Linked DNA regions of Ovis aries. The protein of the gene in region 5 interacts with the protein of the main gene of each other region in a pairwise test. Links are inferred from orthologs where the notes say so. Each region holds a gene or a part of one and is shown on either strand. Other genes may lie near its edges.

Region 1 (4,701 bases), on a different chromosome or scaffold from region 5:
AGCTGTGAATGGTGTGTGGTATTCTGTTGGCTGAAACATCAACATTCAGGGATCCACTCGACTGCAGACGGACTCAGGTGTGAACTGTTTTCAGCTTGAGATTAATATATATGAAATAGTACTGCTATGAACTATGAACATTCTTGTCCAGGCTCCCTGGGCAAATGGCATTTTTAAAAATACTAAAATATACATAACATAAAATTTACATTTTAACCATTTTCAAGTGTACTGCTCAGTGGCATTAACCACATTCACAGCGTTGTGAAACCACCATCACCACCCATCTCCAGAACTTTTTCATCATCCCAAACAGAAATTCTATACCTATTGAGCACCTACACTCAATACAGTGTATATCCACTGTACCTGTTGAGCAATAACTCCCATTCCCCAGTCCCCTGCCCCTCCCAGGCACGCTCCTACTTGCTGACTCTATGAATCTGACTCCTTTAGGGACCTCATGTAAGTGAAGTCATATAACATGTCCTTTTCTGACGGCCTTATTTCGCTCACTATAATGGCTTTCAATTTCATCCATGCTGTAGCATGGGTCAGAATTTCCTTCCTTTTTAAGGTGGAAATCCTTTTTCAAAAATAGTATTTAGTTTCCACACCAGGATTGAACGTTTTAAACATTTTAACATACAAAAACTTAGAAGGCATAAAGTAACTATTTACAATATGATGTAAAGTAAAATTTCTATATAAATACAGTAAATAATATTTACATTCAAATTCAAGTGTTTTAGACAGAAATGTTAGTGTTAGTCCCTCAGTCATGTCCAACTCTTTGCAACCCCATAGACTGTAGCCCACCAGGCTCCTCCGTCCATGGAATTCTCCAGGCAAGAATAATACTAGAATGGGTAGCCATTCTCCTCTCTAAGGTATCTTCCCCACCCAGGGATCAAACCCAGGTCTTCTGCATTGCAGGCAGATTGTTTACCATCTGAGCCACCAGGGAAGGCCCACAAAATGTAAACATTTAAATAAATGTTAAGGAAAGTTTTAAGTAATTATTCAAAATTAAAATTTAAATAAATATATTAAAATCAAATGAAAAAGCATCATATAAATAGTTAATGTTATGAACAATGTTTAAATAAGTGTTTATATAAAATTTAAATATTTAGGACTTCCGCGGTGGTGCTGTAAGAAATTGTCTGCCAACACGGGACACGGTTTGTTCCCTGGCCCCGAAGATTCCACACGCTGAAGGGCAACTGAGTCCCTGGGCCACAAGTACTGAGCCAGCGTGCAGCAACTATGGAAGCCCATGGACCTAGAAAAGAGCCAGGGGTTGCTTTCCCCTTGGTTCAGAGGGTAAAGAATCTTCCTGTAATGCATGAGACATAGAAGACACTGGTTCGATCCCTGGGTCAGGAAGATCCCCTGGAGGAGGAAATGGCAATCCACTCCAACATTACTGCCTGGATTTAAAAAAAATTAAATATGTTGCATAGATTTAAAAGTTAAAATATAAAATAATACGTAGATTGAACTTAAAACGAAAATATTTCAGTGTTTTAAATAAATATTTAAATGATCGTTTAAATTTAAAACACTTAAATGTTAATATTTAAAATAAATGCTATTTTAACATAAAATTAAATCTTAAATATGAACAAAAAACTAAGAAAAAATTTAAATGAGATTTTAATAAATTAACTGCTACAGGAAATTTTATAATTATACTTGAAGATGTGTAAAAACTAAGACTACTCCCCTCTTCGCCCTGCGCGGAACTGAGGCAGCCAGGAAGCTCCTTGCCTCCTCCCGGCCCCCAGCGGACCTCAAGCGCAGGCAGCGCCTTGGCCAGCCCGGCCTGCTCGCGAGGACCTCTCACGGCCAAGATGGCTGCGCCCATGCGGCAGACTCGCAACCTCCTCGGATGGGTGACGACCCTGGGCCCAGGCTCCCGCGGCTACCGAGCGCCGCCGCCTCCGCGCCGCTCACGGGACCCCTGGTGGCCCGACCCGGATAACCCACTGACCCCGCGCTGGCAGCTGGGGCCGCGCTACGCAGCTAAGCAGTTCGCGCGGCATGGCGCCGCCTCCGGTGTTGACCCCAGTTGTCTGTGGCCGTCGCGGGAGCAGCTGCTCGAGCTGGAGGCTGAGGAGCGAGAATGGTACCCGAGCCTGGCGGTCATGCAGGAATCGCTGCGGGTGCAGCAGCTGGCGGAAGAGCAGAAGCGACAAGCCAGGTGCGTGCGTGCGGTCGGGCGGGAGCGGGACTGCGGGCCGACAGTGAATTGTGCATCAACAGTGCTTACTCCATCGGGCGGTTTATCGCCGGTTTTGCATGCGGTATTTACGTGCACGCTCACCTGGATGTGAAAAGACTTCTGGCTAAGTTCATTTAGTCATCGGTCAACAAATCTTTACCTAGCGCCTACTATGCACAAGGCCATGTCCCAGGTGCTGAGGGCATAGTGGGGAACAAAATGAATTTCAGATGGTGACCAAGAGTCATTAGGAAGATAAAATTGGGTGGAGCCTGCAGGCCTGAGGGCGACTTCGCCTTGGTAGGCCCCAGCCTTCTCTGAGAACTTGACATTTAAAATGTTTAAGCAGAGACCTGTTGGGCTTCCCTTGTGGCTCAGCTGGTAAAGAATCCACCTGCAATGCAGGAGACCTAGGTTCGATCCCTGGGTTGGGAAGATACCCTGGAGAATGAAAAGGCTACCCACTCCAATATTCTGGCCTGGAGAATTCCATGGACTGGATAGTCTGTGGGGTCACAAAGAGTTGGACATGACTGAGCAACTTAAGAGAGAGATGAATGATCGGCGGTAGCCATAGAAAGATCTTAGAGTGTTCTTGGTAAAGGGAACAGCCGGTGCAGAGGCCCTGAGGTCGGTATATGCTTTATGAAACAGCCTGGACATTAGTGTGGCTGGGGAGGTGTGAGAGGTGATGGAGCATGGGATCAAGGGTACAGATCGGACTTGGGAGGCAGGTCTGAAGGATTTAGAGGTAAGAATGGAAGCAAGAGCGAAGATATTGATTGTGCCAATTACTGAAGAGAGGGGGCAGCGAAGGCAGGCGAGTGTGTTCCTGGTGTTTACTGTCCTTGTCCTCACAGCAGCTCTAAGAAGAAGAGGGAATCACCCTTATTTGAGAGATAGGAAACTCAGGCCAGGGAGGGTGAAGTCACTTGTCCAATCGCCCAGTGAACGAACAGAGCTGGGAAGTGAACCTATGTCAAGTAAACCCCGTTATCCCAGCTGGCTGACCGTACCTACCATGGGGCTTTCAGTTTCATGTTTCTAATCCTTAAAATGGAACAGTGACTCATACCTACCACCCATTGGAGGGAAAGGTCCGATTCATTTCTTGCCTCCACTCCTGTATCAAGAAGTGGGCCTGGCATAGAGTGGGTACTCATTGATGTCTGTAGGATGAAGCAATGTGCTATGGGAATAACACGTGGCCTTGGATGGCTCAGGAGACAGCTCAGGGAAATGCTGGGTTGACTTGGGGTCTGCTCCTAGAGTGACTGGGGCTTACTCAAGGTTAAATACATATTTATTTCCCTGGCAGTTCAGATGGTAAAGAATCTGCAATGCAGGAGACAGCTACTCACTCCAGTATTCTTGCCTGGAGAATTCCATGGATAGAGGAGCCTGGCAGCTAGTCCATGGAGTCTCAAAGAGTCAGACACAACTGAGTGACTAACACTGTCACTTTCACACTAGTTCCTGTCTCCTGCCTCTTGCTTCACTTCTCAAGGACTTTTCTTGACAGTTTTAATGACCACCATAAGCCTTCTCAATCTTTCATCTCGAGATATAGGGGAGCTGGAAGAGGCAGGCTGTGGGCAGAGGCTTGGGGGTGGGAGGTGGGTGGATGGGTACTGCTCTGGCTGGGTGGGGCTGCCCTCACCAACCACCCTCCTGCACCGGCAGGGAGCAGCTCATTGAAGAGTGCATGGCCAAGATGCCACAGATGATTGAGAACTGGCGGCGGCAGCAGCAGGCACGCAGGGAGAAGGCACAAGCAGACAAGGAGCGGAGGGCCCGGCTGCAGGCGGAGGCCCAGGAGCGCCTGGGATACCACGTGGACCCGAGGAGTGCCCGCTTCCAGGAGCTGCTGCAGGACTTGGAGAAGCAGCATCGCAAGCGCCTCAAGGAGGAGAAACAAAGAAAGAAGAAGGAGGCACGAGCTGCTGCGATGGCCGCTGCTGCGGCCCAGGATCCAGCAGACTCTGAAACACCCAACTCCTGAGCTGGGTTCTTTCCCAATAAAACTTGCCCCACCCCTGAAGAGCTATGTCCTCTTATCACACCCCTCCCTGGGCACATGGGTTCCTTCTCCAACACCTGGAGCCAGGGAATCCCCCACCCTTCCCTGGCTCTGCTCACTCAGGGGACTCAAGACCATGCTGACCAACTCTGGGGCTTCAGGGGGAAAAAAGGTGGGGAACAATGGGGAAATAATGGAGGAGCAGATGGCAGAGGAGAAGAAGGCTTCTGTTTACCAACATTAATCTCCAGTAATTAGCCAATTACCAGGGGGGAAGTGTAGCCAAAACAGACTGTGGTGATGATGGGGGGGGTGGAAAGAGCAGCAGCCCTTCCAAGGCTGGGGCCCACTGCCTGGGAATAACACAGCTTGGTGGTGGGGGCGGGGTACACCAGGAGCCACAATCTGCAGAGGCAGACAGACCCCTCTGCCCCTTTCATGGCATTCCCTCATC
Region 2 (3,983 bases), on a different chromosome or scaffold from region 5:
AGGCTTGATGTACTCCTTCTCCTATCTGGAACCAGTCTGTTGTTCCATGTCCAGTTCTAATTGTTGCTTCCTGACCTGCATACAGGTTTCTCAGGAGGCAAGTCAGGTGGTCTGGTATTCCCATCTCTTTCAGAATTTTCCAGTTTACCGTGATCCAAATAGTCAAAGGCTTTGGCATAGTCAATAAAGCAGAAATAGATGTTTTTCTGGAACTCTCTTGCTTTTTCCATGATCCAGAGGATCTTGGCAATTTGATCTCTGGTTCCTCTGCCTTTTCTAAAACCAGCTTGAACATCTGGAAGTTCATGGTTCACGTATTGCTGAAACCTAGCTTGGAGAATTTTGAGCATTACTTTACTAGTGTGTGAGATGAGTGCAACTGTGCAGTAGTTTGAGCATTCTTTTGCATTGCCTTTCTTTGGGATTGGAATGAAAACTGACCTTTTCCAGTCCTGTGGCCACTGCTGAGTTTTCCAGATTTGCTGGCATATTGAGTGCAGCACTTTCACAGCATCATCTTTTAGGATTTGAAATAGCTCAACTGGAATTCCATCACCTCCACTAGAGTATCTATAACAATATTTATTTTCTTGTTTATGATCCATCTCTCTCAAGAATGTAAGTTTGAGTGCAGACACTTTATCCATCTTGTTCACTGCTGTATTCCTAGGACCCTGAATAATGATTTGCATATGCTATGCTCAATAAATTGAATGAATTTCTCTTTGTATCCTCAGTGCTTAGCAAAGTGCTTGGCAAAGAACAGGATGCAAAAGCAAATCAGTTTTCCAGTCCCTCCTACTGTAACCAGGCCTCCACCTTGCTACCAGAATCATCTAAGGGCATTCTAATACTCAGATCAACAAATCTTTTGTGTGGTCCTAGATGGACTTGTCAAACTAAATTCATACTACAGAAAAAGATGTTGAGAAACTTCAACATGAAACAAGAAGTATAATTTCAGGACAAAATAATGGTGAATAAATTTTCTCATTTAGCCAGTAGCTTGAAAGGGAAGCAGCAAAATGCTGTCTTAGTTGGGGTTTTTCTCTGAATATGGACTGAAAATCCTGAAGTAAAGAGCTCAGCCTATAATGATGAGTCTACACCTAAAGTCTGTCTGGGCCTCAGCCATTCAAGACAGTGGACAGGTATTATGAGAGGAATATGAGTGTTTCATCTGGAATAAAGTAACATGACAAAGCTCACGGAGAAAATTTTTTGAGGACTGAATGATGCCTGTCTTCTGGCTCGATCTGCAAAATGTTACGGAAATCAAAGCTTGAGCACAGAAGCAGTTCCTCCAGGGAAGAGAAAAAAACGAAGAGAGTGAAATTGCTCACCTGGCTGTTCGACTTGCTCAGCATCATGTGTGCATTGACTACTTCCAGAATATGTGTGGTGAACTCATTCATATCCTCCAGGGGCATGATCTTAAAGGCTACCAGGCTTTTCTTGTTCTATTAAAATAAATAGAAAAACGTGAACAAAGGGTAAGTACATTCAAGTCAATTTCAGGCCAAAACATCATGGCTCTTTTCTTGGTTACAGTATTTTATTAAATGAGGAAAATGTGCTATATATTGAAAAATTTCAACTCAAAGTTAATTCAAATATAGTCAATGAAATATAGTCAAAAAAACAAAACTAGCTCAGAGACGTTCAATGATTTTCCCAAGGTTAAACAGTCTAGTCTCTAAATCCAGTGTTTGCCCTTCTACATCTAATGAATGCCATAGCTGGCAACTGTAGGCTGAGATCTTGTTCTTTCTCTACTTCCTGTTTTAAACTGAAAAAACTCATCATTTCCTTCTGAAGAAGAAAATAATGAAATAACTTCAATATAATTCCCATTAAACATAGAGACTTAGTTAAGTCTTAAGTATCCCAAATGTAGGCATGACTCCAGAAACTGCTTCATGCAAATACATTTTAACTGTTGTTGTTTTTTTCTGACTTTACCTGGAAAGATCTCAGATGACCAGCCACTTTCACATATGTTTCTGGAGGGACCACAGTGTTTTCACCACTGGCATCCTAACAGAAAAAATACAAACACACACTTAGGTTTTAGTGATGTTGGTGAAAGCCTCTTTAAAATTTCTAATTTATGTAGAGAAAGTTACAAAGTAAGAGCTAAAGGATCCTAATGTAGTACTAACTAGTTTTCCCTGCCTTTTAGAATTTAATATTTTTAAAAGTAAAATCAGAAATTAGGATAATATCTCTAAAAGTAAGTTCCAGTTCCAAGCTCTACATCATGCATATCAAAAAAAAAGAAACAACAAACCCAGCAAACAATTATGGCACTTTCATGCAGTGCTCTTAGGCACACAACTTTCTGGTAGACATACTTCTCAGTACAGCAACTCTACTTTTAGAAATTTAAGAAAAGTACTGAGAACATGTAATCAAGATTTAGCTTTAAGAGTAGTCATCTCAGCAATTCTGAATACTACTAAAACATTTAAAGTGAAGTGAAGTTGCTCAGTCGTGTCCGACTCTTAGCGACCCCATGGACTGCAGCCTTCCAGGCTCCTCTGTCCATGGGATTTTCCAGGCAAGAGGACTGGAATGGGATGCCAAAGCAACCTAAATATCCAACAAAAAATATACATTCATATAATGGGATACTTTACACTGCTACAAAGGATAAATGGAGAATTCTATTTATTGTCTGTGAATATCAGTTGTGACTCATGGAAAAAAGCTTATTTCCCATGAGGGGAAACATACATGTCAAAATATTAACAAGTTAACTTGGATAATTATAAATGATTTTAATATTTCTTTGTGGGTTTTCTAGACTATGTACCTATTATTTATAAGAAAAACATATAAACTGACTCAAAATTCTTTTCTGTTTATAGGATGTGTGTGTGTCCTAAATTGCTTCAACTGTGTCCAATTCCTTGTGACCCTACGGACTATGGCCCACCAGGCTTGTCTGTCCACGGGATCCTCCAGGCAAGTATAATGCAGTGGGCTGCCATGCCCTCCTGAGGGGATCTTCCCCACCCAGGGATCAAGCCCACATCTCTTATGTCTCCTGGTAGGGGAGTTCTCTACTACTAGCGCCAGCTGGGAAGCCCACTTAGAGAATGTTGCTGCTGCTGCTGCTGCTAAGTCGCTTCACTCGTGTCCGACTCTGTGTGACCCCATAGACAGCGGCCCACCAGGCTCCCCCGTCCCTGGGATTCTCTAGGCAAGAACACTGGAGTGAGTTGCCATTTCCTTTCCAATGCATAAAAGTGAAAAGTGAAAGTGAAGTTGCCCAGTTGTGTCCGACTCTTAGCGACCCCATGGACTGAGCCCACCAGGCTCCTCCGTCCATGGGATTTTCCAGGCAAGAGTACTGGAGCGGGGTGCCATTGCCTTCTCCGACTTAGAGAATACATGAGTATAAAAAGCTAGAATAGAAAATCTGGATGTTTAAAAATAAAAAGCATTCCAATTCCCATCACCTGGAGGTTATCAACTATTTGCATTTCATTCTATTACTTTACACAGCTGAATCTATACCACAGATAAAACTCTGTATTCCCCAAAAGAACATTTTAAAACCACTTGGAAAAAGTAAAGCTGGATCTATACTTCACCAAAATTTATAAAAAGGCTTAGTCATATACAGAAATATGAAAAGAAAACACAGAAATTATAGAAGGAAACACAATTAAAAAACAGTAATTTGAAACAAGGAAAAGCTTTTCAAAGTCAGTAGACAATCTAGAGAAATAATATGATAAGAGATTACTACTTTTCAGGTTCTTACAAACAAAAGTAAACACTCCTAGGGAATCAAAGCACTTAGACAACTAAAAAAATCTTCCCATAAATTAACATTTTGTTGTTGTTCAGACGTGTCCGACTGTTGGTGACACCACGGACTGCAGCATACCAGGACTCCCTATCCTTCACTATCTCTCAGTTTGCTCAAACTAATGTCCATTGAGTTGGTGATGCCATCCAATCATCTTGTCCTC
Region 3 (3,983 bases), on a different chromosome or scaffold from region 5:
TAGATTAAGAAACAGAACATCTCAGAACCCCAGGACCACCCTTATCTTCCCTTTGGGTCACTACATCCCACCAAAAGCAATCACTAGGCTGACATATAATATCATAGAATATTTGCCTAGCTTTGATCTTTACATAGATGGAATTATAAAGTATATAGTTGTTTACTGCCTATTTTCTCATGAGATTCACTCATAGTTTAGTATGTGGTTGCAGTTTATCCTCAATTGCTGTACAGAATTCCACTGTGTGAATATAATGCTGTATGAGTTTCTTATTGCTGCTGTAACAAATTACCACAAATTCAGTTGCTTAAAGCAACAGAAAGTTCTTCTCTCATAGTTTTTAAGTCAGAAGTCTAGAATCAGGTCTACAAAGCTGTACTCCTTTAGGAGGCTTTACGGAAAATCTATTTACTTATTTTTCCTAGTTTCTGGGGGCTGCCTACATTCCCTGGCTCCTGGCCCCCTTTTCCATCTTTAGGGCCAGATTGGTAGCATCTGCTTTCCTCTCTGATCTTTGTTTCCATCTTTATACCTGCCCCCTAATCTCTGACCTTCGTGCATCTCACTTGTGCCCTTGTGATTATATCTGGCTCATCCCAGTAATACAGGATAATCACCTCATTTCAAGATCCTTAACTTAGTCATATCTGCAAAGTATCTTTTACTATGTAAGGTGACATACTCACAGGTTGCAGGGACTGGGACATAAACATCTTTGGGGAAAGGGCATGATTTAGCCAACTACAGCCACAATAAGGTCATTTCCAGTTTTTACCTAATTGAAATAATTCTGCTATGGAACATCCTTTTATATGTCTTTTGGTTTCACTATTGGGCGTATATGGGTCCTAGGATATGTGCAAACAACTTTCCAATGTGGTCATGCACTTCATACTCCAACCAAGAAAGTTTGAGAGTTCCAGCTGCTCCATGTCTTATGACTACTAGTTACTACCCCTTTCTTTCCTATTTTTTTTAAAAGCTGATATACTTTGATTGTCAGTTCCCAGCTCATGAATCTGTGCCTCACTGTGATGTACTTGAATCTCTTGTTCTCCAAAGCTGAAGATTCCTAGAGCAGTTCCTATTCTCAAAGTAGATGAACCATCTTCAAGTACCACTCTAGCCCAGTATGACAGTGATTCCAAGAAAAACTATGGCTCCCAGTCAAACATCAACATGAAGTATATTCCAAAAGAAGACTTTCCTGACTGGTGGCAAGTAAGAAAACTGAAAAGGTAAGTCCCAGCTTTCAGTCCAGCTGCACAGCATGTCAAGCAGACATTACCCCACTGCCTCAGAGCTGAGCCTCAGCACGGCCTGCACAGGCCATGGCTGAGACAGGGCTGCCCTCTCGGAAAATCCTCAGTGCCTGAGCCAGAAGCCTAGAGTAGTGCTGGCCCCACTGGGACTCAGCACCACAGACTTGCCATTTAGATGACTGAATCTAATGATGCGTACAATACTTGAGCACTTTATTCCCTTTCCTTTCTTTCCTTCTTCCTCCAAACAACCCCACAGTCCAGAACACCAAATCTTTAAAATATATCCTTTATCTGAGACAGCTTAGAGTGGGTAGGTTTTTGCAACGTGCTTTGGCATCACTGGCCAATGACAAGTATTCAAACGAGGCTGTGGCTGCCTTCTCAGGATGTACACCTTCACCTATAGTCTTCTTTGCCACTTGCACTTTTCACTTCACATCTGGGACATTTTTCCTATTTTAAGACATGAGGATATACTACATTTTTAATTTTTTAATGTTTCAGCTGTGGTAAAACAGCACAAAATTTACCACCTTCGTCATGTTGCAGTGTAGAGTTCAGCAGTGTTCATTACCTTCCCACTGTTGTGTAAGCCACCTGATTATCGTGAATGTCTGTATTGCATTCCATCATGTGGACAAACCTAAGTGATGCACAACTGATGGACACTCTCCACATGTTCTTAAAAACCACAAAAAGGCTAAATTGCTTGGTATTTTTAAATAAGAGCTTTCTTATGAAGAGCTGAAGGGAAAAAGCTTTGCTAGTGAGCAAGGCTCTTTGGGAAGCTGGGGCTTTCCAGGCTTTCCTTGAACTGCAGCCAGAGGAGCACTTCCTTGCTAAGGAAGCTTGTCACTCTGAAGTGTGGTCTTGAAAAAGAGCCTGGGTTGTGAAGGCAAACAGGAAATAGGTCCTACCTTCCAACTAAAACAACCTTTGGACTTGGAGAAGTTGGCACTTCCTCATGGGCTGTTTCACACACCAAGTAAAAGAGATAAAATGATGGGTGGAGAGGATGAAGAGAACCCTGCAGATCTGTGTGTGTACACATGGAGTTAAAAGGTTCAGTATTTTCAGGACTTTCCATTGCAAGCATAACGGCAAAGAGGAAAATAACTTATATTAAAATATATTAATGACAGAATGCCTGCACACATACAAGAAAATCAGAACAAACCCAGCCAGGATGATTTACTAATCCAAGTTTTCTACTGTTTGGGGTTATTATGAGCCATTATTAAAAACTCTCTTTTGTTTAGGCATCCTATCAAATGACTAGTTTTTAGTGGGGTCACTGCAAGGATGAAAATGTGAAAATGACTCATTAGCTTAAATTTCCAAACCAAGTGACATATATGGGTCACAATATTAAATAAAGCTAAAACATATCCAAACAATTACTTTTGCCATTTAACATTTGTAAATAAATATAAATTTATAAACTTTATCTCTCTTTTTTGTAGCAGTGAAGATTTGGCATGCAGTAACCAAAGGGAAAGAAATGTTGTAAATCACAACACCTCAAAGATGTCATGGTAAATCAACTTCAGATATTCTGTTGCAGCCAGGATTTCTTTCATCTTCAGGAAAACTAATCACAGGTGTAAAAATTTTGCAACTAGCCTTTAATTTTAAGGTGACTATAAAACAAACAAATACACGGAGTTTGCTTCTTTGAACCCTGACAGTGGTCTGAATGGATAACTTCTGAGGTCACACTGATATTTCCTACCCATCATACATGATATACACAGGTGTCAGCATGAACACAAACCTACTTGGCTCAGGCATGTGAGCCGGAGGGAAAACAAGGTGGTGTTAAGGAACTCTTCTTTGAGAATACCTCTATACACTCACAAGACTTCCTCTAACTTCATATCACAGCTGTCCCTGAAGCATTTCATCTATTTCACGAGTCTGCTCTTCTGACCGAGTCAAAGAAATCTACATTCCTGGGATCCTCCTGTATCAAGGAGCCAGTGTCTCATGAAACTGGGCATGAGCTCAACTTGTGAGCAACCTTCTCTTCACTTTGCTGACCCCTTCCCAAGTGCAAAAAAGGGAAATCTAACAGTGCAGATTTTATTTATGTGGATAAAAGCAGGGTGGGATTTGACATGGCACTGTGAGGCACTTGGAGTATTGCTTGGTTGTGTGTGTGTGTGCGTGTGTGTGTGTGTGTGCACGTGTGTGTGTGTATTAACCACGTTTCCTCTCTTCTTAAGGGGCTCCCCTGAGTCAAGTTCATCTGAAGAAGAGGAAAACCTTGATGATTATGAGTGAGTTTTGAAAGTCCTCTGTGTTCCTTTAAAACTAGACATAGATATTTCTATCTATTCTTCTGAAAAGGCTGTATTTACATGGAGAAACTCCTGTGAGGTTCTGGGCCATGAAACTGGAGGATGGGTGACAATAACCTGGGCTGTTACTAATGAAAATGTTGTTCAGTTGCTAAGTCGTGTCCTACTCTTTGCGACCCCATGGACTGCAGCATGCCAGGCTCCCCTGTCCTTCACTATCTCCTGGAGTTTGCTCAAACTCATCTCCATTGAGTCAGTGATGCCTTCCAACCATCTTATCCTCTGCCATCCCCTTTTGCTTTTGCCTTCAAATTTTTCCCAGCATCAGGGTCTTTTCCAGTGAGTTGGCTCTTCACATCAGGTGGCCAAAGTACTGGAGCGTCAGCTTCAGCATCAGTCCTTCCAATGAATATTC
Region 4 (4,762 bases), on a different chromosome or scaffold from region 5:
TTTCATCTGATTTATTTTCTTAATTCTTTGCTCCTGTTGTTCCCTCTTCCAAGAAATGCTGTGAGTTGAAACCTCACTCATTTTTGGGGGTCTATCTCAGATGTCACCTTCTTTGCAAAGATTTTCCTGATTACCTCACTTTTCCCTTCACTAGATATTGTCTTGCTTTTTAGGATACTCACTGAACTGAACTTTGTATCCCTCATGATATTTAATCATAATCGGTTTCTTTTAATATAGTGTGTACTTACCTTATCATTCTTTTAGGATTATAATGTGCTTGAAAGGACAGACACAATCACTCATCTTTTGTTCCCACTAAGGCCTAGCCACGGTTTTAGCAAGTAATTGGGACTTCAATTAAAAAAAAAAAATTGGGCTTCCCTGGTGGCTCAGTCGGTACAGAATCTGCCTGCAATGCGGGAGACCTGGGTTCAGTTCCTGGGTTGGGTAGATTCCCCTGGAGGAGGAATAGGTTGCCCACTCCAGTATTCTTGGGCTTCCTGGGTGGCTCCGTTGGTAAAGAATCCACCTGTGATGAGGGAGACCTGGGTTCAATCGCTGGGTTGGGAAGAGCCACTAGAGAAGGGAACGGCTACCCACTCCAGCATTCTTGTCTGGGGAATCCCCATGGACAGAGGAGCATGGTGGGCTGCAGTCCATAGAGTCCCAAAGAGTCAGCCACGACTGAGTGACTAAGCACAGCACACAAAAAAGCTGTGTTAACTCCACTGAAGTATTTTAAGACAGCAAAGAGCAAAGTTCCTGTATTTATCCGACACAGGGAACACTTACGCAGCATAAACCTAAATACAGACATAAACGTACAAACACATACATGCATGTATATTTATCACTCTGCTAAGACGTCTTTGTCTCAATATTGAAGGATTCTGGGGTGTAGGCCAATGCTTTTTATTCCCAGTTGGCACCAAAAATGTTGCCCAGATTATAATTTGAGGACCAAAAAATGGCTTCAACATCTCTTTCAGTTTGGGATTTGAGACCCGGCCAAAAGGCATGTTGGCAAACGCTTACTAAGTTGAACAAAGACTGGCCCGTATGAGCCTCCCGGAGACGCCGGGGTTGGGGTTGGCGAGGAGTCGGGCGCTGGGCGGCGGGAGGGCTGCGTGGCGCGGATCTTCCAGCACTTCCTACTCCGCGGAACCGGGCCGACCAGTTCCCACCGCCGCCTCCTGCCTCTTGGCCCCACTTTGCGGGCCATGCCCACGCAGCGCGCCCTCCTCCCCGGCGCCGAGGCCGGGCTGGGGGTGCGCCGAAGCAGAGCCGGTTCGGGCATCTTTCGGCGGGCGGCCGGGGCGGGGATCCCAGGGCAGGGGACGAGGGCCGAAAGCCGGGGGGCCGCCCTCCGGCTGGGTTTCTAGGTGAAGGGCAGGAAAACAACCGGCGGGTCTGGGCGGGGCGAGGGCGGAGGGCACACATTGCTTCATCCTGTACATTTTACTGGAAACTGGGCGCATCCGGAGGAGGGGCCGGGAGGCGGTCCCGACGCCGTCAATGGCCCAGCAGGGCGCGGGGGAGGCCGGCGAGGCGGTGGCCCCTTCTCTCCGCCCCTGGTCTCGAACGCCGGTTAAATAGTCGGGCACTCCGGGTCCGCGCCCGTGCCCGCGCCGTCCTCCCGCCGATACCCTGAGCCCATCAGAGCTGGTGCCATAGCCACAACCGGGAGGCAGCCGCGCGCAGTGAGCCGGGGGCACAGCTGTCTGGAGTCCCCGAGCGCCGAGCCCGGGAGCATGATCGTGGACAAGCTGCTGGACGATAGCCGCGGCGGAGAGGGGCTGCTGGACGCGGCCGGCGACTGCGGCCTCATGACCAGCCCGCTCAACCTGGCCTACTTCTACGGCGCGTCGCCGCCTGCCGCCGCCCCCGGCGCCTGCGACGGGGGCTGCTCGGCGTCTGGGCCCTCGGCGCCAGGCTCGCCCGGCTCTGACTCCTCCGACTTCTCCTCCGCCTCGTCCGTGTCCTCCTGCGGGGCGGTCGAGTCCCGGCCGAGAGGCGGCGCCCGTGCTGAGCGGCTGCAAGGTACCCAGCGGCCCCAGCGGGGCGACCCCGGGACCCCCGGACTCCCGTGGGCCCACGCTCGGGGAGGCGGGTGGTCTGGGCTGCCCAGATGTGAAGTACCTCGGCCAGGTTTTAGGAGGATTCTGCGCCTGCCTTAGCGGCGGTACATAATCACACTGGTCGTCATATTAGGCCACGACTGGATGCCTTGCCCTGTGCTGGGCGTTTAGTATCACTCGATGCCCTTTGACCGTCTGTGAAATCCGGGTGCCATCGGCTGGCCTGTTAGCTGGAAACACACGGCTCTGATTGGGGAGGGGGGGGCGGGCGGGGAGAAGTGGACCACGTTGGCTTTTCTCTTCGTTTTCTTTTAAAAAACGCCTTTATTAACTATAATCCACACACTATGGCGAGGTTTTGGAGCCGATGTAGGTGTACCTTTTTCTCGTGGCTGTTTTAGTGAAAGGCTGCAGCGGGCGATAAGGGTTTGAGTACAAGGTTGAAGGTCATTATTTCTTCCTAAGTACGTATTTGTGAAAATTTTTACGTAGAAGGACTTTATAAAGAAAAGAAACGGATATTATCAAGATGTGAGATGAAGCTGTACTGAAAACCAACGTATACCTTGAGTTTGATTTTCCGAAGTCTGCCCCGAATTTCTGCGGTCTTGTTTTTGTTTTCTGTGCTTTAGAGTGGTTGGGCTGTATGTGGCAGAGAAAGGCGTAATGTTTCCGGTCTTCCGCTGTGAATTGTTAGTTTTTTTTCTTAATGAACGGAGTTGCATAATTTGGGGGAAAACAGGATGCCACTGTGGGTAAACCAAAGAACGTCTAGATAATCTCACATTTTGGAAAATGTAATCAGCATGATTTTAAAGAACGTTCTTCCAGGTGTTCCCCACTGCTAGCCATTCCTGTTTTGGTTGCGTTTTAAAGTGTGATTTGTCATTTTCATTTAAAAAAGTGATTCAAACAGTTCCACTCTGTAAACGCTTTCTGTATCTTGAGTGTGCAGTAAATGCCAAAATTGTGTGTGTTTATCTAAACCATTTCCCCCCCCCTCCTCATTTGGCCTTCATCTGGCTGAAACTATTTTACTAGTTCTTTGGTTTACCATAGGGGATTTCTGAAACTGAATTTTTCTCCTTGTGACGTTGAATTATTAACTGCTGTCATTCCAGAGAAATGCTGTGTTAGATTCTGGCAAGATATTTCTAAATGACTTAAATGTAAAACTAGCTGTTTAATTTGCCCTATCATTGAGTTGTTTCTCTCATATGTTTGATTATAAGTACATATATATATATGTTTAAATTATGCCTTGGTTTTTGTCCTATCTTATTTTTTCCTACTCTCAATGGAATTGCTGAATTATTCATTTCCTGACTGTGTGTGTTTACTCTGTGTTCAACTCATCCCAAGAGGTTGTGACATGTTAGTGGTCAGAGTGGAATGCTGTACTCATGTACTATGTTTTAAAGTGTATTTTAAAGCTTAAATATGAAATGAGATTATTTCCTTTTTACTTAGAAGGCCTATATGAGCAATTCCGTAAACAGTCGGTGAGGGGAAATCCTGTGTGTGTGTGTGGAAATGTGTTTAAGCTTAGTGAATTTAAAGCAGCTTTCTCGGCATAGCTCAACTGAGGGAAATAATAAACTAAGACATTATTAATTATTAGGCTTTGGTACATTGTTTTGTGCCTTCTTCGGTGAGTGGAATTGATAAGACTTTACAATTTCTGTGTGGACAGAAACCCTTTGGTTTGGAAAGCTAAAAATTCATCATTTAGCAATTGCTCTCCCAGGTTTTTAAAGAGTCTAGAATAATTATAGATTTATGAGAGTCAGGATGGCAAAATCTGCAGTCCTCTCTCTTGCCGTATTTAGGGCTGAGAGAGAACTAATTTGGGTTTATCCCTTGTTTCTGGGGCTCCCTGAAATGACTTTTTATGAGCTTTAATTCCTTAGGGTGCCTGGTGGGGAAAGGTATCAGGCAAGGTAGAATCCTTAAGTAGGGCTGGGGACTGACGTGCAAGGTCATCGGCCGGGGTGAGTTGAAGAGGCTTTGTGGCCAGTTGGGAACTTTATCACGTTGGACAGCTGTGCTTTCGAAGTTACTAATATTCATGTCTTTGAAGACACTCACTTGGGATATGTTTTTGTTTTTTGTTTTTGAACAGTTGAGCCCCATATGGGGGCTGTAAGGCAGCAGAGAGGACCCTTTCAAGGTGTTCGTGTGAAGAACTCGGTGAAAGAACTCCTATTGCACATCCGAAGTCATAAACAGAAGGCTTCCGGACAAGCTGTCGATGATTTTAAGGTGGCACCTAACTGATTTGTTTTGGGTTGGGTGGCAGGGAGGTTAGTCTGTTAGGGTTATTACTCTCATAGACCACAGAGTACAAAGGACAGAGAGCATATTTGTCCTGCTGTCTGCTAGATTCTTGTCGCTGGGCCCAGTGCTGGGCGCTTGGCAGTGTGCAAGAGAAATTTAATGAATGAGTAAACGAAGGCAAGTTGGGGGCAAGGAAATTAATGTGGTTCAGCTCAATGGAACATTTTGATTAGAAAGGAAAAGCTCAAGTTGCCTTATTAATTTTACCTTGACCCAAGTTGAATGAGGTGAAAATGCAAATGGGGGAAGTTGTAAGGTAGGATGGAAATGAACATAGAAAATAAATACTGTTAGAATGGTATATCATATGTTCATGGCAAACTACAAAGAATGGTAGAGATATC
Region 5 (3,983 bases):
CCTCTGTCCTTGGAATTCTCCAGGCAAGAATACTGGAGTAGCCATTCCCTTCTCCAGGGAATCTTCCCAACCCAGGGGTCAAACCCAGATCTCCTGCATTGCAGGCTGATTCTTTACCGTCTGAGCCACCAGGGAAGCCCAGTTCTTAAGATTACTTGGTCTCTATTGCTATTTCAATGACCCAAGATATTCAGAAAGAGGATTTAAGGTGGTTAGCTGGCTTGCATTCTCCTTCCTGAACATTTCTCTGGGGTATTCATGAACCTGGGGACAGCTCGAATGCCTTTTCTTTAGCTTCTCTTCTTTCTCACCCCAGACTGAGAAATTTTAAAAACATAATTACTCTTTTTTGAATGGGAGAACCCCAGGCAGATCCTTGCTGTAGGTTTAAATCTGTAGTCCTTTTTAACTTTTTATTTTATATTGGAGTATAACCGATTAACAGTGTGGTAGTTTCTAAATCTGTAGCCTTGGAATTAGCTCTTTGTCCTCCCTGAACACCCACATCCCACGTTTTGGTCTTAGTTCAGGTTTACGGTATTCATATCTCCCAGTCCACCTAAAAGGAATGCCAACTGGAAAGAAAGGAACTCATATCTTTTGAGCATCTATTGTGTGCTGAGCACTGAGCTGAATGCTCTAGAAATATTATTTCAGTAGCCCAGAGAGCTGGGAATTATAATGTCTGTGTAATAAGAAGAAGTGAAATCTGGAAGTGAAGTAGTTTCTCAATTTCACATACCTCTAGGAGATAATGGATTCTAGAACTTGGCACCATGCCCACACTGTCATCTTGGTTTAGAAGAAAGAAGCTGTGATGTGGCCCCAGGGATAGAGATTTGAATCCATATGTATTGTTCTAAAGTGGGTGGAGCAAGTGAGAGCCTTTCCACACACCTTTTATCCCTAATCACAGACCTGATCCCTGTGTTGGATAGATCATTTCCTCTTACTGGGGCTGGTAGTGACCATATGAACCTTTGGTTTGCAGTTGTGACCCCTGATTCCAGCAGAATGGCCCAATGGAATCAGCTCCAGCAGCTGGACACACGGTACTTGGAGCAGCTCCATCAGCTGTACAGTGACAGCTTCCCCATGGAGCTGCGGCAGTTTCTGGCCCCTTGGATCGAGAGTCAAGATTGGTAAGTCCTTCTCAAGAAACTCCCCAAATTGCTAGGCTTTAGTTTGAGTCAAGAGACATGATCTGCTCTAACTTAACTCTTTGCTAACTATTTCATCTTAAAGCTTATAGTTGCAGGTGACGGGACAAAAGAGATTGGAAAGTAAAGAGGTCATTTTAGTCCTGAAAAGCATTTTTACATTAGAAAGGCATCTGGAAAGCTGTCTTTTGGCACGCTGAAACATCCTGCTTGATGGTTCAGTTCAGTTGCTCAGTCATGTCCAACTCTTTGTGACCCCATGGACTATACCACCCCAGGCCTCCCTGTCCATCACCAACTCCCGGAGTTTACTCAAACTCATGTCTACTGAGTCGGTGATGCCATCCAACCATCTCATCCTCTGTTGTCCCCTTCTCCTCCTGCCTTCAATCTTTCCCAGCATCAGGGTCTTTTCAAATGAGTCAGTTCTTCGCAAGATTTGAAATTGAAAGTAAAACCTGTTACTGGTTCAGTCGTGTCTGACTTTGTGACCACATGGGCTGTAGCCTGCCAGGCTCCTCTGTCCATGGAATTCTCCAGGCAAGAATACTGGAGTGGGTTGCCATTCCCTTCTCCAGGGGATCTTCCCGACCCAGGGGTTGAACTCAAGCCTCCCGCGTTCCAGGCAGATTCTCTACCATCTGAGCCACCAGGGAAGCCCATTTTAATTTCATTTGCTTGATGAGATTCTCTGCATGTTCTGATGCTTCAGGGACATGCTACAGATAATTTCTTTTTAATCTGAATGAGAATTTTGTCATGGGTAAAAAAAGGTTTGGGTTTGTACTTCTGATTCCTCTTTCATTAAAGAAAAGAGATACAGAGTTAGAGAAACAGACTCAGTCATAGAGGAGATAGGGGTTCCCTGGTGGCTTAGATGGTAAAGAAATCGCCTGCAATGCAGGAGACCCGGGTTCATATCCCTGGGTCAGGAAGATCACCTGGAGAGGGAAATGGCAACCCACTTTAGTATTCTCGCCTGGAGAATTCCATGGACAGAGGAGCCTGGCAGGCTACAGTCCGTGGGATCGCAAGAGTTGGACACAACTGAAAGACTAACACTTGGTCATAGAGGAGATAATGGTACAGAATCCCAGCAACTCTTTCCTTCACTTTAATGTATTCAGATCCACCTTTTAATTTTGGTTTAATTCAGGCCCATGACCTAGCTTTTCCAGAATTTGATGAGGGGCCAGGGAGGTAATTCAGAGATGTTGGAAATAGGCCATCCTAACCTGGGATTGGTTATTTGCTACTGAAAATCTGACCATAGAGTTGACTGAGAATTTAAAGGAAAACAGCATATCTGACCATTCAAAATTTGATAAATATAGAACTATGACAGTCGCTTAATAGTATCCAAAATAATTGCTGGTAATTTTAAAATCAGTGACTTTTATGATTGCTGAGTAAGATGTATCTAAAATGGTGAGTGGGTTAAAGCTTCAGGTTTGCCTTGTTTTTCCCTCCTTGATGGTGATTTCGAGTGCATGCCTGTGCGTGTGAGCGTGTGTATGTGTGTAGGTTTCAGAATCATTCTTTGTCTTTATCTTCCTTTTTCTAGGGCATATGCGGCCAGCAAAGAATCACATGCGACTTTGGTGTTTCATAATCTCTTGGGAGAAATTGACCAACAGTATAGCCGCTTCCTGCAAGAGTCCAATGTTCTCTATCAGCACAATTTGCGAAGAATCAAGCAGTTCCTTCAGGTGTGAGGAGAAACTGAACCTGCAGAGAAGGGTTTTAGCTTTCTTTCCTGAAAATGTTTGTTTCTCACTTGGTTAATTAATAACCTATCTTGTACTTTAAATCCAAGGAGAAGTTACCAGCCCTTTCAGTATTATTGCTTGAAGTTTACTTGGTTGGTTCATTGAAATAATAATGTGATTTTTATGTTAATTATATTATGTTAGTATGCGAATGACATGATTGTAACAAGTTCAGATGACTAGGAAAATGGCTCTTACTTTTCAGTGTCAAAGGCTTGGACACCGTAGTTGGATACTCCTTGACAAAGTCACCCCCCTGTAAGACCAGGATAACTCACTGTCCAAAGTCTGTCTGTCCAAAGACAGACAACCAAGCCTACTCTCACTACAGTACTGCTCATCGTGATTGCCTTTCTTCTCCGTCACTTCTCCTACTGACTGTAGCCAGGCTCTGATGCTCTGTGGTTCCATGTAGTAAATGTAACACTTTCCCTAGTTTATGAGGAAGTTAGCTTTAAGTTAGCAAAGTTCGGTCCACATCTCCTGAGCTGCTGCTGATTTTCATTCTCTTTGTCTCCCCACTTACAGAGCAGATACCTTGAGAAGCCAATGGAGATTGCCCGAATTGTGGCCCGTTGCCTGTGGGAAGAGTCCCGCCTCCTCCAAACTGCAGCCACTGCAGCCCAGGTGAGGCCTGGGAAGAAGCAAGCGCTGTTAATATGTGCTTCCTTCACGTGTACGAAGATGTCCTTGCCTTTTGACCTCCATAATCGTGGGTGTTTGGGGGTTGTGTACAGTAAAAATAACTTTCTCAGCATATAAAATGCATTCTCCTTTTTAAGGAAGACTTTATTTAATAAAACATTACAGAAAATTACAAGGAAGAAAGTTTTAAGAACTGAAAGGTCACTGGCTCCTCTGTCCATTTTGTCTTCCCAGGAAACCAACATTAATAGTCTGGAATATAGCCTTTCATAACTGTCTCCAGGCTCCTATATAGGAAACACATGCACACACATTATATTTAAATTGGTTTACTTTTCCACGTCTTGCATTCTTTTAATTACATCATGTAAATCCTTCCAAGTCAAGCAGTTTAAAGCTAACTCATTTT
Region 6 (4,712 bases), on a different chromosome or scaffold from region 5:
AAATCCCATGGACGGAGGAGCCTGGTAGGCCGCAGTCCATGGGGTTGCTAAGAATCAGAAACGACTGAGCGACTTCACTTTCACTTTTCACTTTCATGCATTGGAGAAGGAAATGGCAACCCACTCCAGTGTTCTTGCCTAGAGGATCCCAGGGACAGGGGAGCCTGGTGGGCTGCCAGACCTATGGGGTCGCACAGAGTCGGACAAGACTGAAGCAACTTAGCAGATGCTAAGTTAATTACAAGAAGATAAATACTGTATGATTCTACTTATATGAAGCATTTAAAATAGTCAAACTCATAGAAACAGAAAGTAGAATGGTGGTTGCCAGGGCCGCTGAGGAGGAAATGGAGAGCTGTTTACTGGTAGAGATTTTCAGTCATGTGAGAGGAAAAGTTTTGGAGATCTGCTATGAGGCACTGTAGATGCTTTTAACAATAGTGTACACTGTACACTTGGGCAGGAAGATATCAGGTTGTGTTTTTACTACAATAAAAATACTAGGGAAAAAATAAAACCCTCCATATGGGCCAAAGGACTCATATCTCTAATCTACCTTGATGATGACTGTGGTACTTGAAAACAGGAATCAACTTCCTGAATCAAACACAAAGCAAGTAATGTATAGTTGATTCGATATAAGACAACAGGAAATACTAGAATTTTTCTCTCAATTCAGGACTTTTATTTTGAGGTTTGGGGGATCCAAAAGAACTTGAGAGGGAAGTTTATACATGAGAGGAAAACAAAGACCCCAGTGAGAACCCAGTCCACCACATGAGCAAGCCCTGTCCCACACACAGCAGGTGCTCCAGTATTTGTTAAATGTTGGTGACTCATTCAATTTTTCTGTGCAACCTCCACAGCAAATACTGTGAATCTTGCTTATTGTTACATTTCTTAAAACAATAAGAAATTGTTGAAATTCAAAGAACTCTGCGTGATAGAAACTGCAGGAAACAAAACCAAACCAGAAAATCTCACGTCTGAATTGCTTCAAACTGTTAAACTGGGTGAAAAAGCTGTGAAGTAAAGAAAACTGTTTCCTGAATCACCTGAGTGAAACTCCAAGATCCAGCTCCCTTACCTTCCTGACAAGTGTGTTTTTACCAACACACTCTTTGCCTGCACTAAACTGTTCTTGCATAAAAAGTAGCTGAGTGATTTTGGAGACAGGATTGTTTTGCCTGAATCATCCAGATAACTGGAACAACTCAACTTCTAAGAACAATCCGGCCGAGGCTGCCCTGCCTACTAAGTGCCCGCTGTCCTCTTCAGGCCATATCCGAGTCACATCCAGCTTAAACTAGAGATGACAATGTCGCCTAGGAAGGAAACACGCCGTTATTGTTAAGTGAAACGGTCAACTCCAAATGCGCTCAGATCCTGAAATTCACTGCTGATGTCCAAAGGCGCTTTCGCAGCTTGGTTTTTCGAAGTCTCCTTTCCCTGAGAGCATCTCAGGGCTGCCCGAAGGCATTTGGCCCCTTCCCCCAGTACCACACTTTGCTTCCAGACCCGTAGGCCTGTCCAATAAAGTTGTTTAAAATACAAAACGTAGCAGAGGATGCTCGAGCAGGAAGAGAAAAAGAACACCCGGCGAAATGGGTCGGTGTTGGAACGTGCCATTCGTTTTGAAGGGAGGAGAATCCCAGGTGTGAACTGCATCCCGAGCGTGAAGTCATTTACCAGACCTCGGGGTCTTCAGGGCCTGAGAAGAGAAAACACCAAAGACCGGGCGGAGCGCAGGAAGGGGCGGAGGCCGGAAGCGGAGCCTGGCGCGGGCGGCGGCCCCAGGCGCGTACCCCGCGGGCCAGGGTGGTGCGGCCCTGGGCGGTCCCCGCGGGCAGGCGGGGAGGCGGGAGGCGCTGGGCGGCGGCGCAGAGTGCAGCATGGCGTATCCCGGGCATCCTGGCGCCGGCGGCGGCTACTACGCAGGCGGGGTGAGTGCTGCCCGCGCGGGCTCGTGGCCGGGGCGCGATCCCTGGACGCCCGGGGCTCCGAGAAGCCACAAGGGTCGTCTCGGCCGGGGAGGTTCCCGGGCGCCCCCGCCCTGCCCGCCGCCTCGCCCAGCGCCCCCGCCGGCCGGCCTCGGTCTCCGGCGACCTCCTTCCTCCTGTCCCTTCTTCCCCCCGGGTTGCTGCTTGGGGCCGGGACGCGCGTAGTTTAACCCAAGAAGCCCACCCTGTGCCTCCCGGATCCGCGGCGTGAAATCGTGCAAAAGGGGTGTTGCCTTCCGCTCCGCCTTCCCTAAGAGCAACAGCCATTTTACTCTAGAATGGTCCTGCGATCCACTTCTTTCTCTCTCTCTCCGAAATTGAGAGAAACGGGGAAAGTCAGGGAAAGTCCGCTAGAGTCGGAGACTTCCGGCAGGAAGGCAGCCTGGCCCTCAGTCTGGGACGGGCATCCTTTTGGGAACTGTTTCCTGAAGAGAATATTCCCTATCCGTGACACACCTCACCCTCCCGAGGCTACACCTGTCTCAGAACGCTTTAAAAATACCTTAAACGCTAGGAAAAATTATGCAAGACAATTCTGAGCCCTGCTGGTAAGTTGCATGGCCAGGTTGCATTCGTCTCAGTAAACTGCAGGTTAATGGAGATTTGCAGAGGTTACTTCATTTATACTGATGTCATTGTCAAGACAACTCATTTTGATCCTAGCTGCGGGTTTTTAAATTATAACTGGGATGAGAATGGGACAAAGGGAAGGAGTGATTGCGCCTATAGAGTTAAGGGAGGTGGGAGGGGGGGAGCAAACGACTGACAGCGAACCTGGCTTTGCACAAGGCACTCAGTGGTGAAAGGATAAAACTTGGTCATCGGATTTATTCATTTGTTCCCTGTCTTACAGTACGGAGGGGCTCCCGGAGGGCCTGCGTTTCCCGGGCAAACTCAGGATCCGCTGTATGGTTACTTTGCTGCTGTAGCTGGACAGGTTAGCTCTTCCCTTTAACATTAAAGAAATTTCAGTTTGTACATTTGTATTAACCTTTGTTACAGTCCCACGGAAAAACGACTGTTCCTCTGGAAAAGAATTCCTTTGCTTCTGCTCCAGAAAAGAGAGAGAGAGAGAGAGAGAGAGAAGGAAGTTCATGGGCAGTTATTTATTTTTGAATATTCAGAACAAACTGGGACAACGTGTTACTCTTGCTTATGTTCAATTCAGAACTAAACTTGTGATTGAATTAGGGTCAGATTGAACACAATAAACTAGTGTAAATATGCTTTGAAGATATGTAAGGTAGAAAGATGTCTTTAAAACGGTCAATTGTCAGGATCCAGACAGCGAATTTCCAGAGAAGAAATTCCAGGTCGACTGAACTTTAAACCTTTCTTTGTACAATTAGAATCATGTAGTACCAGTAATTCTGTAGCCAGATTCTGAGGGACATTTTCTTTGCATTGAGTTTGACTGTTAATTACCCCTTTAGGAAATGGGTACTCCAGGTTAAAACCCACTAGCTTCAAAATAAGGAAGGTACTTTCTTCTTGCTATCAGGAAGTTAATCTTGTGGCCAGTTTAGTTTTTCTTAGCTGCGGATGCTATTACTAGGTCAGCCCTTCCATGTCCTTGTTAGGTGTTGTGGTCTGTTGACCCAGACAGAGAATGAATTAAGGTCAACACCCCAAAACCTTTCACTTCTTCTAGTTGTGTGACAGGTGGTAGTTCATCTTGTAGGAGGCCTTTTTCCTCAGGTACCAGGTCACTGTATATACCATACTGCCGTTATAATCCAACATGTTCAAAGAGGACATTTGTGCTTATGAATTCAACCTAGCTTTCTTTTAATCAAAAGCTAGAAATAGCACAGTCTTGATGTGAAAATGCCTGTAGACTGTTATGGGATAAAAACGTGTGACCACCTTCTAGAACAGCACTGGAAAAAGTACAGTTTGAGAAACTGAATGGAAAATTGAGTCTAAAACTGAAAGAGCTTCCCCTAAGTATCTGCTTCACCTGTTAGTGATCAGTATCTTTGAAACCACAAGACACGGCAAAGCTCAAGTCTCTGCACTCTTAGACCGCCAGGACCAGGAGCCATGAAAGGCACCCACCTGCTTAGCTTTCAGCAGCCCTGGTCTGCGGCAGCATGTCCATCGTCTTTCCCATTATTGATCGTGCCTGTCATCTAGATTGTATAATAGTCATGAACTTGAGGATTTGGGCATTTTATTTTAAAATCTAACGTGTTTCTAGTTCTGACCTAGGTCAGCCAGTGAATAGGCATGGAGAACTTGTATAATTGTATAACCAGCTATAATTGTGATCTGAAAAAAACATTCATCATATTCTAAGCAAAGGAGATCACAGAGGCTGCTTTTTGTGGGAACCAAACTTTTCATTTACTGATGTCATCTGTGTACCCAGCCCTCCACCCCCTCAACAGAAAAAAAAAAAAAAAAAGCGAGGACAAGTAATAGAACTTCTGATCAAATACATAAATAATTGTATTTTAAATTGCTTACTTTTGCAGTTTCCTAGTTCAGAGTAAGAGTAGTTAAGGGTAGGAGCTAGTTGTATTTATATGTTTAAAAATATGTCTCAGTGGAAGAAACTGAATTAATCTTACTGTTTTATTAAGAAGAGGAACCGTATGCTTTAGAAGTTATGCCATCTAATTCAGGAATTTATAGGAAATGACAAAAAGATATTGGTAATACCAAAGCATAGGTGTAAGCAGCTTTCAGACTTGGTAATTCTTGTGTAAT
Region 7 (3,983 bases), on a different chromosome or scaffold from region 5:
GTTCTTTAAAGGGTGTCATGAAGGGGTCCTACATTGAGCTGGAGGTATGTGGCTCCCTTGCTCACCTCTTAGCCACCCCTCAGGTGAGCAGTCCCCCGCTCTTAGATACCAGAGAGGAGCAGCTTCTGTCCCCTGTACCAGCTCCAGGAGATGAGTCTCCGTAATGCTGGTGATTTCCTGCATCCTCGGAGGCAGAATGTCTGCCAACAAAGGGTGAAGTGGGCGGAAGATGCTTTGTAATGTCATGCAGGGCACGAGCAGTTTCTGACCCGGTTCCTTGACTGTGTGACCTTGAACCTGACTGAGACCTCACGTCCTCCAAGCAGCTGGCAGCAGACCAGCGCCTCTTGGGAGCTGTGAAGGCTGAGGTGGGAGTTTCTGTAGAGCAGTGGCACCTGCAGCCATGGGGGCACAAGAGACCTGAAAGAGTGCCACCCACTTCCCGCCCAGGTGGGCAGCAGCCCACACCCTGAGAAGTCGGCCCGGCCAGGGTCGGGTCACCCTGCAGAAGATCAGCTGCAATTTCTCTTTCCCCAGGCTGCCTGCTGGATTTCCTGAAGACGGATGAAGGTAGCCGATTGTCCCTCTCAAGGCTGATTGACATGTCGGCCCAGGTTCGTGAGCTCCAAGTGCAGGGATCCAGGCCCCTGGGCCCTGTCCTCTGCCCTTGCAGCTCAGCGAGATCAACTCTTTGGAGGCTGTGTCCATTAGATTTAGGCTGGGCTGTGAGAGAGAGAAAACCCAAGCCATCATAGCTTCAGTGTGTAAGCACCAGAGGCGGGCAGTCTGGGGTGGGCGGTGGAGCTTCCCCTCAGAGTCACAGGGACCCAGGTTTCTTCCACCCACTGGGTCTTAACAGATCATCTTCCCACCCAGGGAGCCTGCTCACGCTTTAGCATCTTGTCCTCCTCAGCCAGGAGGAAGAAGCGGGATGGAGGGGGCAAACCACACCCACTCCCTTTAGAGCCAAGTGCTGGAAGTCACTCCCTACACTTGCTCTCCCAGCCCCCTGGCCACCTGTCACCTGCCTGTACCCAGCTGCAAGGGAGCTTGGGAAATGTAGTCCTTCTCCTGGGCAGCCATGAAGGTTCTGTTGGTGAGAACCAGAGGAAGAAAGGATGGTGTGGGGAACCCAGAAAGTCCCCACGAATTCCACGTCCTATGGCGGGTCAGCACTTTGTGGTGACCTCCTCCATCCTCAGATGGTGCCCATTAATGCCTTCTGTAGACTCAGACATCATGAAGTGAAGAGCAAAATGAAGAGGAGGGAAACGTTCCTCCCGGGGGATTTTAGCTGAGGATTCTAACTGGCAGCAAAGCACATCCGGTGGCTCTGGGTGTGTGTCTGTTGAAACTGGAACTCTCGGAAGAAAAGCTCCGGTCTGTGGTCAGCCCGCGAGACTCAGAAACACACACACACATCCTGCTGGAGGGAGGCACCCTCCCCTCTCCCACGCCACCCCCACCCCCTCCAAGTCGTTATCTGCTGTGAGTATCAGGGCAGGAACTGAGGTCACCGTGCCTTTTTTCCACCGCCTTTTTTCCACTGAGGTGCACACAGGCTGGGCTGAACAGGATGGTGAGGTGGTCTCGGAAAACTAAGCCTGGTAGCTGGTTTCAAACCACAGCTCATGATAAGCCTGCTCACTCCCTTTTTTCCCTTTCTTTTCCTTTTCTCACTCGTTGTCAATGATCTCTGTCAAGCCTTTGGGAAATCTTGGGTTGCCAAGAAGCAAAGGATATGAAAAGTCACCTGAGTTTCTAAGTTCAGTTCAGTTCAGTAGCTCAGTCGTGTCCGACTCTTTGTGACCCCATGGACTGCAGCACGCCAAGCTTCCTTGTTCGTCACCAACTCATGGAGTTTACTCAGACTCATGTCCATCAAGTCGGTGATGCCACCCAACCATCTCATCCTCTGTTGTCCCCTTCTCCTCCTGCCTCCAATCTTTCCCAGCATCAGGGTCTTTCCCAATGAGTTAGTTCTTCCCATCAGGTGGCCAAAGTATTGGAGTTTCAGCTTCAGCATCAGTCCTTCCAATGAATATTCAGGACTGATATCCTTTAGGATGGACTGGTTGAATCTCCTTGCAGTCCAAGGGACTCTCAAGAGTCTTTGCCAACACCCAGCTCAAAAGCATCCATTCTTCGGCGCTCAGCTTTCTTTAAAGTCCAACTCTCACATCCATACATGACCACTGGAAAAACCATAGCTTTGACTAGACGGACCTTTGTTGGCAAAATAATGTCTCTGCTTTTTAATATGCTATCTAGGTGGGTCATAGCTTTTCTTCCAAGGAGTAAGCGTCTTTTAATTTCATGGCTACGGTCACCATCTGTAGTGATTTGGAGCTCAAAAAAATAAAGTCTGACACTGTTTCCACTGTTTCCCCATCTATTTCCCATGAAGTGATGGGACCAGATGCCATGATCTTAGTTTTCTGAATGTTGAGCTTTAAGCCAACTTTTTCACTCTCCTCTTTCACTTTCATCAAGAGGCTCTTTAGTTCTTTGCTTTCTGCTATAAAGGGTGGTGTCATCTGCCTATCTGAGGTTATTGATATTTCTCCCCGCAATCTTGATTCCAGCTTGTGCTTCATCCAGCCCAGTGTTTCTCATGATGTACTCTACAAATAAATAAGTTTCTACGTAGATGTGGCCAAGAATCTGAAGGTTAGGAAAGCAGAAAATCAGAACCTTCCAGGTGCACAGCTTCTAAAACACACTGTGATCACGCTAGCGCCTTGCTCTGTGTACGGGCACACACGCGCGTGCGCACTCTGCCTTCCGGGTGCTCCTCATCTCGCTTTATAGCATGAAGTGCAAAGCTCCCCTCCAGACGCAGCCCGTGTGCCCCACTTTGCAGCCACATGGCAGCTCCCCCCGTCCTGTCACACCTTGGAGCCTTCGCGCCGCCTGTCTCTGATGTCTGGCTCTGATGCAGAGGGTGGCCTAAAGTCCTTTCTCGCCCTGAGAGGGGCTGGCCTTCACTGTGGGGCCCCTCCCTCAGATTGCAGAAGGAATGGCGTACATCGAGCAGATGAATTCAATCCACCGGGACCTGAGAGCGGCCAACATCCTGGTGTCTGAGGCCTTGTGCTGCAAAATCGGGGACTTTGGCTTGGCCCGGATCATCGACAACGAATACACCGCCCAGGAGGGTGAGCAGCACCCCAACTCCCCAGTCCCCCTTGGACTTCTTATCGTACAAGTCTGACCTTGCTCCCAACTGGTTCAGCATTTCCCTGATGTGCTCTGGAGACCACAGGTGCCTCAGGAGGAATGACTAGGTGAGAGTAGGTTTAGAGATACCACCCCTTCCATGAGCCCTCCCTTGGAGATTCCCAGCCCGTAGCAGCATGATAAAGGCACTGAGAGGGCACGCAGCTTAGGAACGGTGCACACACGTTTCATGTTGCGTCTCCCGAAGTCATTGGAACCCCAGAAACTTTTTCCACATAGGTTCTGTGAACCTCTCATAGAACCAGGGGTTCACAGAGCACACTTTAGAAAACACTGCCCTAAACGCCTGCCTGCTCAGTCCCTTCAGTCATGTCCAACTCTTTTAGACCCTATGGACTTGTAGCCCACCAGGCTCCTCTGTCCATGGGATTCTCCAGGCAAGAATACTGGAATGGGTTGCCATTTCCTCCTCCAGGGGATCTTCCCGACCCAGGGATGGAACATGTATCTCTTACATCTCCTGCATTGGCAGGCGGGTTCTTTACCACTAATGCCACCTGGAAAGCCCAACGTATGAGCAGCAAAAACTTAATACCTGAATTGGGGTCACTACAGGTGCTTTGCTTTACTTTGTAAAAACTAGGCAAAATCCTCTTTACAAGAGGATTTGAGGCACTCAAAATACATTTCATTAAGCAAGTTAGCGAGTGATACTAGTGAACATATTAATCAGTTGATACGGGAAATGGATTATCTGTCCCATTCATTGAGGGAACTTCAGGCGAGAAAGCTAGAGAAGGTGC

The links.
Region 1: the proteins of STAT3 (region 5) and GADD45GIP1 interact in binary tests that used the Homo sapiens proteins (3 or more experiments, as listed by UniProt). The link is inferred for Ovis aries from reciprocal best matches to the Homo sapiens genes STAT3 and GADD45GIP1.
Region 2: the proteins of STAT3 (region 5) and RPA2 interact in a two-hybrid assay, tested with the Homo sapiens proteins (2 studies listed by BioGRID and IntAct, with this or other methods). The link is inferred for Ovis aries from reciprocal best matches to the Homo sapiens genes STAT3 and RPA2.
Region 3: the proteins of STAT3 (region 5) and BMX interact in binary tests that used the Homo sapiens proteins (3 or more experiments, as listed by UniProt). The link is inferred for Ovis aries from reciprocal best matches to the Homo sapiens genes STAT3 and BMX.
Region 4: the proteins of STAT3 (region 5) and NFKBIZ interact in a two-hybrid assay, tested with the Homo sapiens proteins (2 studies listed by BioGRID and IntAct). The link is inferred for Ovis aries from reciprocal best matches to the Homo sapiens genes STAT3 and NFKBIZ.
Region 6: the proteins of STAT3 (region 5) and SRI interact in binary tests that used the Homo sapiens proteins (3 or more experiments, as listed by UniProt). The link is inferred for Ovis aries from reciprocal best matches to the Homo sapiens genes STAT3 and SRI.
Region 7: the proteins of STAT3 (region 5) and BLK interact in binary tests that used the Homo sapiens proteins (3 or more experiments, as listed by UniProt). The link is inferred for Ovis aries from reciprocal best matches to the Homo sapiens genes STAT3 and BLK.

What each region holds. Positions count from the first base shown.
Region 1 is NC_056058.1:10,910,047-10,914,747, forward strand, and holds GADD45GIP1 (large ribosomal subunit protein mL64), read left to right. Parts: upstream 1-1,840; 5' UTR 1,841-1,856; coding exon 1,857-2,206; intron 2,207-3,910; coding exon 3,911-4,229; 3' UTR 4,230-4,268; downstream 4,269-4,701. UniProt on the Homo sapiens protein: Acts as a negative regulator of G1 to S cell cycle phase progression by inhibiting cyclin-dependent kinases. Inhibitory effects are additive with GADD45 proteins but also occur in the absence of GADD45 proteins.
Region 2 is NC_056055.1:239,191,962-239,195,944, reverse strand, and holds part of RPA2 (replication protein A 32 kDa subunit), read right to left. Parts: intron 2,038-3,983; coding exon 1,963-2,037; intron 1,461-1,962; coding exon 1,344-1,460; intron 1-1,343. UniProt on the Homo sapiens protein: As part of the heterotrimeric replication protein A complex (RPA/RP-A), binds and stabilizes single-stranded DNA intermediates that form during DNA replication or upon DNA stress.
Region 3 is NC_056080.1:13,696,375-13,700,357, forward strand, and holds part of BMX (cytoplasmic tyrosine-protein kinase BMX), read left to right. Parts: intron 1-1,065; coding exon 1,066-1,241; intron 1,242-2,731; coding exon 2,732-2,803; intron 2,804-3,493; coding exon 3,494-3,547; intron 3,548-3,983. UniProt on the Homo sapiens protein: Non-receptor tyrosine kinase that plays central but diverse modulatory roles in various signaling processes involved in the regulation of actin reorganization, cell migration, cell proliferation and survival, cell adhesion, and apoptosis.
Region 4 is NC_056054.1:167,095,530-167,100,291, forward strand, and holds the start of NFKBIZ (NF-kappa-B inhibitor zeta), read left to right. Parts: upstream 1-1,754; coding exon 1,755-2,043; intron 2,044-4,203; coding exon 4,204-4,343; intron 4,344-4,762. UniProt on the Homo sapiens protein: Involved in regulation of NF-kappa-B transcription factor complexes. Inhibits NF-kappa-B activity without affecting its nuclear translocation upon stimulation.
Region 5 is NC_056064.1:42,177,774-42,181,756, reverse strand, and holds part of STAT3 (signal transducer and activator of transcription 3), read left to right. Parts: intron 1-991; coding exon 992-1,142; intron 1,143-2,724; coding exon 2,725-2,869; intron 2,870-3,457; coding exon 3,458-3,556; intron 3,557-3,983. UniProt on the Homo sapiens protein: Signal transducer and transcription activator that mediates cellular responses to interleukins, KITLG/SCF, LEP and other growth factors. Once activated, recruits coactivators, such as NCOA1 or MED1, to the promoter region of the target gene.
Region 6 is NC_056057.1:73,943,517-73,948,228, reverse strand, and holds the start of SRI (sorcin), read left to right. Parts: upstream 1-1,861; 5' UTR 1,862-1,892; coding exon 1,893-1,943; intron 1,944-2,853; coding exon 2,854-2,937; intron 2,938-4,712. UniProt on the Homo sapiens protein: Calcium-binding protein that modulates excitation-contraction coupling in the heart. Contributes to calcium homeostasis in the heart sarcoplasmic reticulum. Modulates the activity of RYR2 calcium channels.
Region 7 is NC_056055.1:105,347,668-105,351,650, forward strand, and holds part of BLK (tyrosine-protein kinase Blk), read left to right. Parts: intron 1-537; coding exon 538-614; intron 615-3,007; coding exon 3,008-3,158; intron 3,159-3,983. UniProt on the Homo sapiens protein: Non-receptor tyrosine kinase involved in B-lymphocyte development, differentiation and signaling. B-cell receptor (BCR) signaling requires a tight regulation of several protein tyrosine kinases and phosphatases, and associated coreceptors.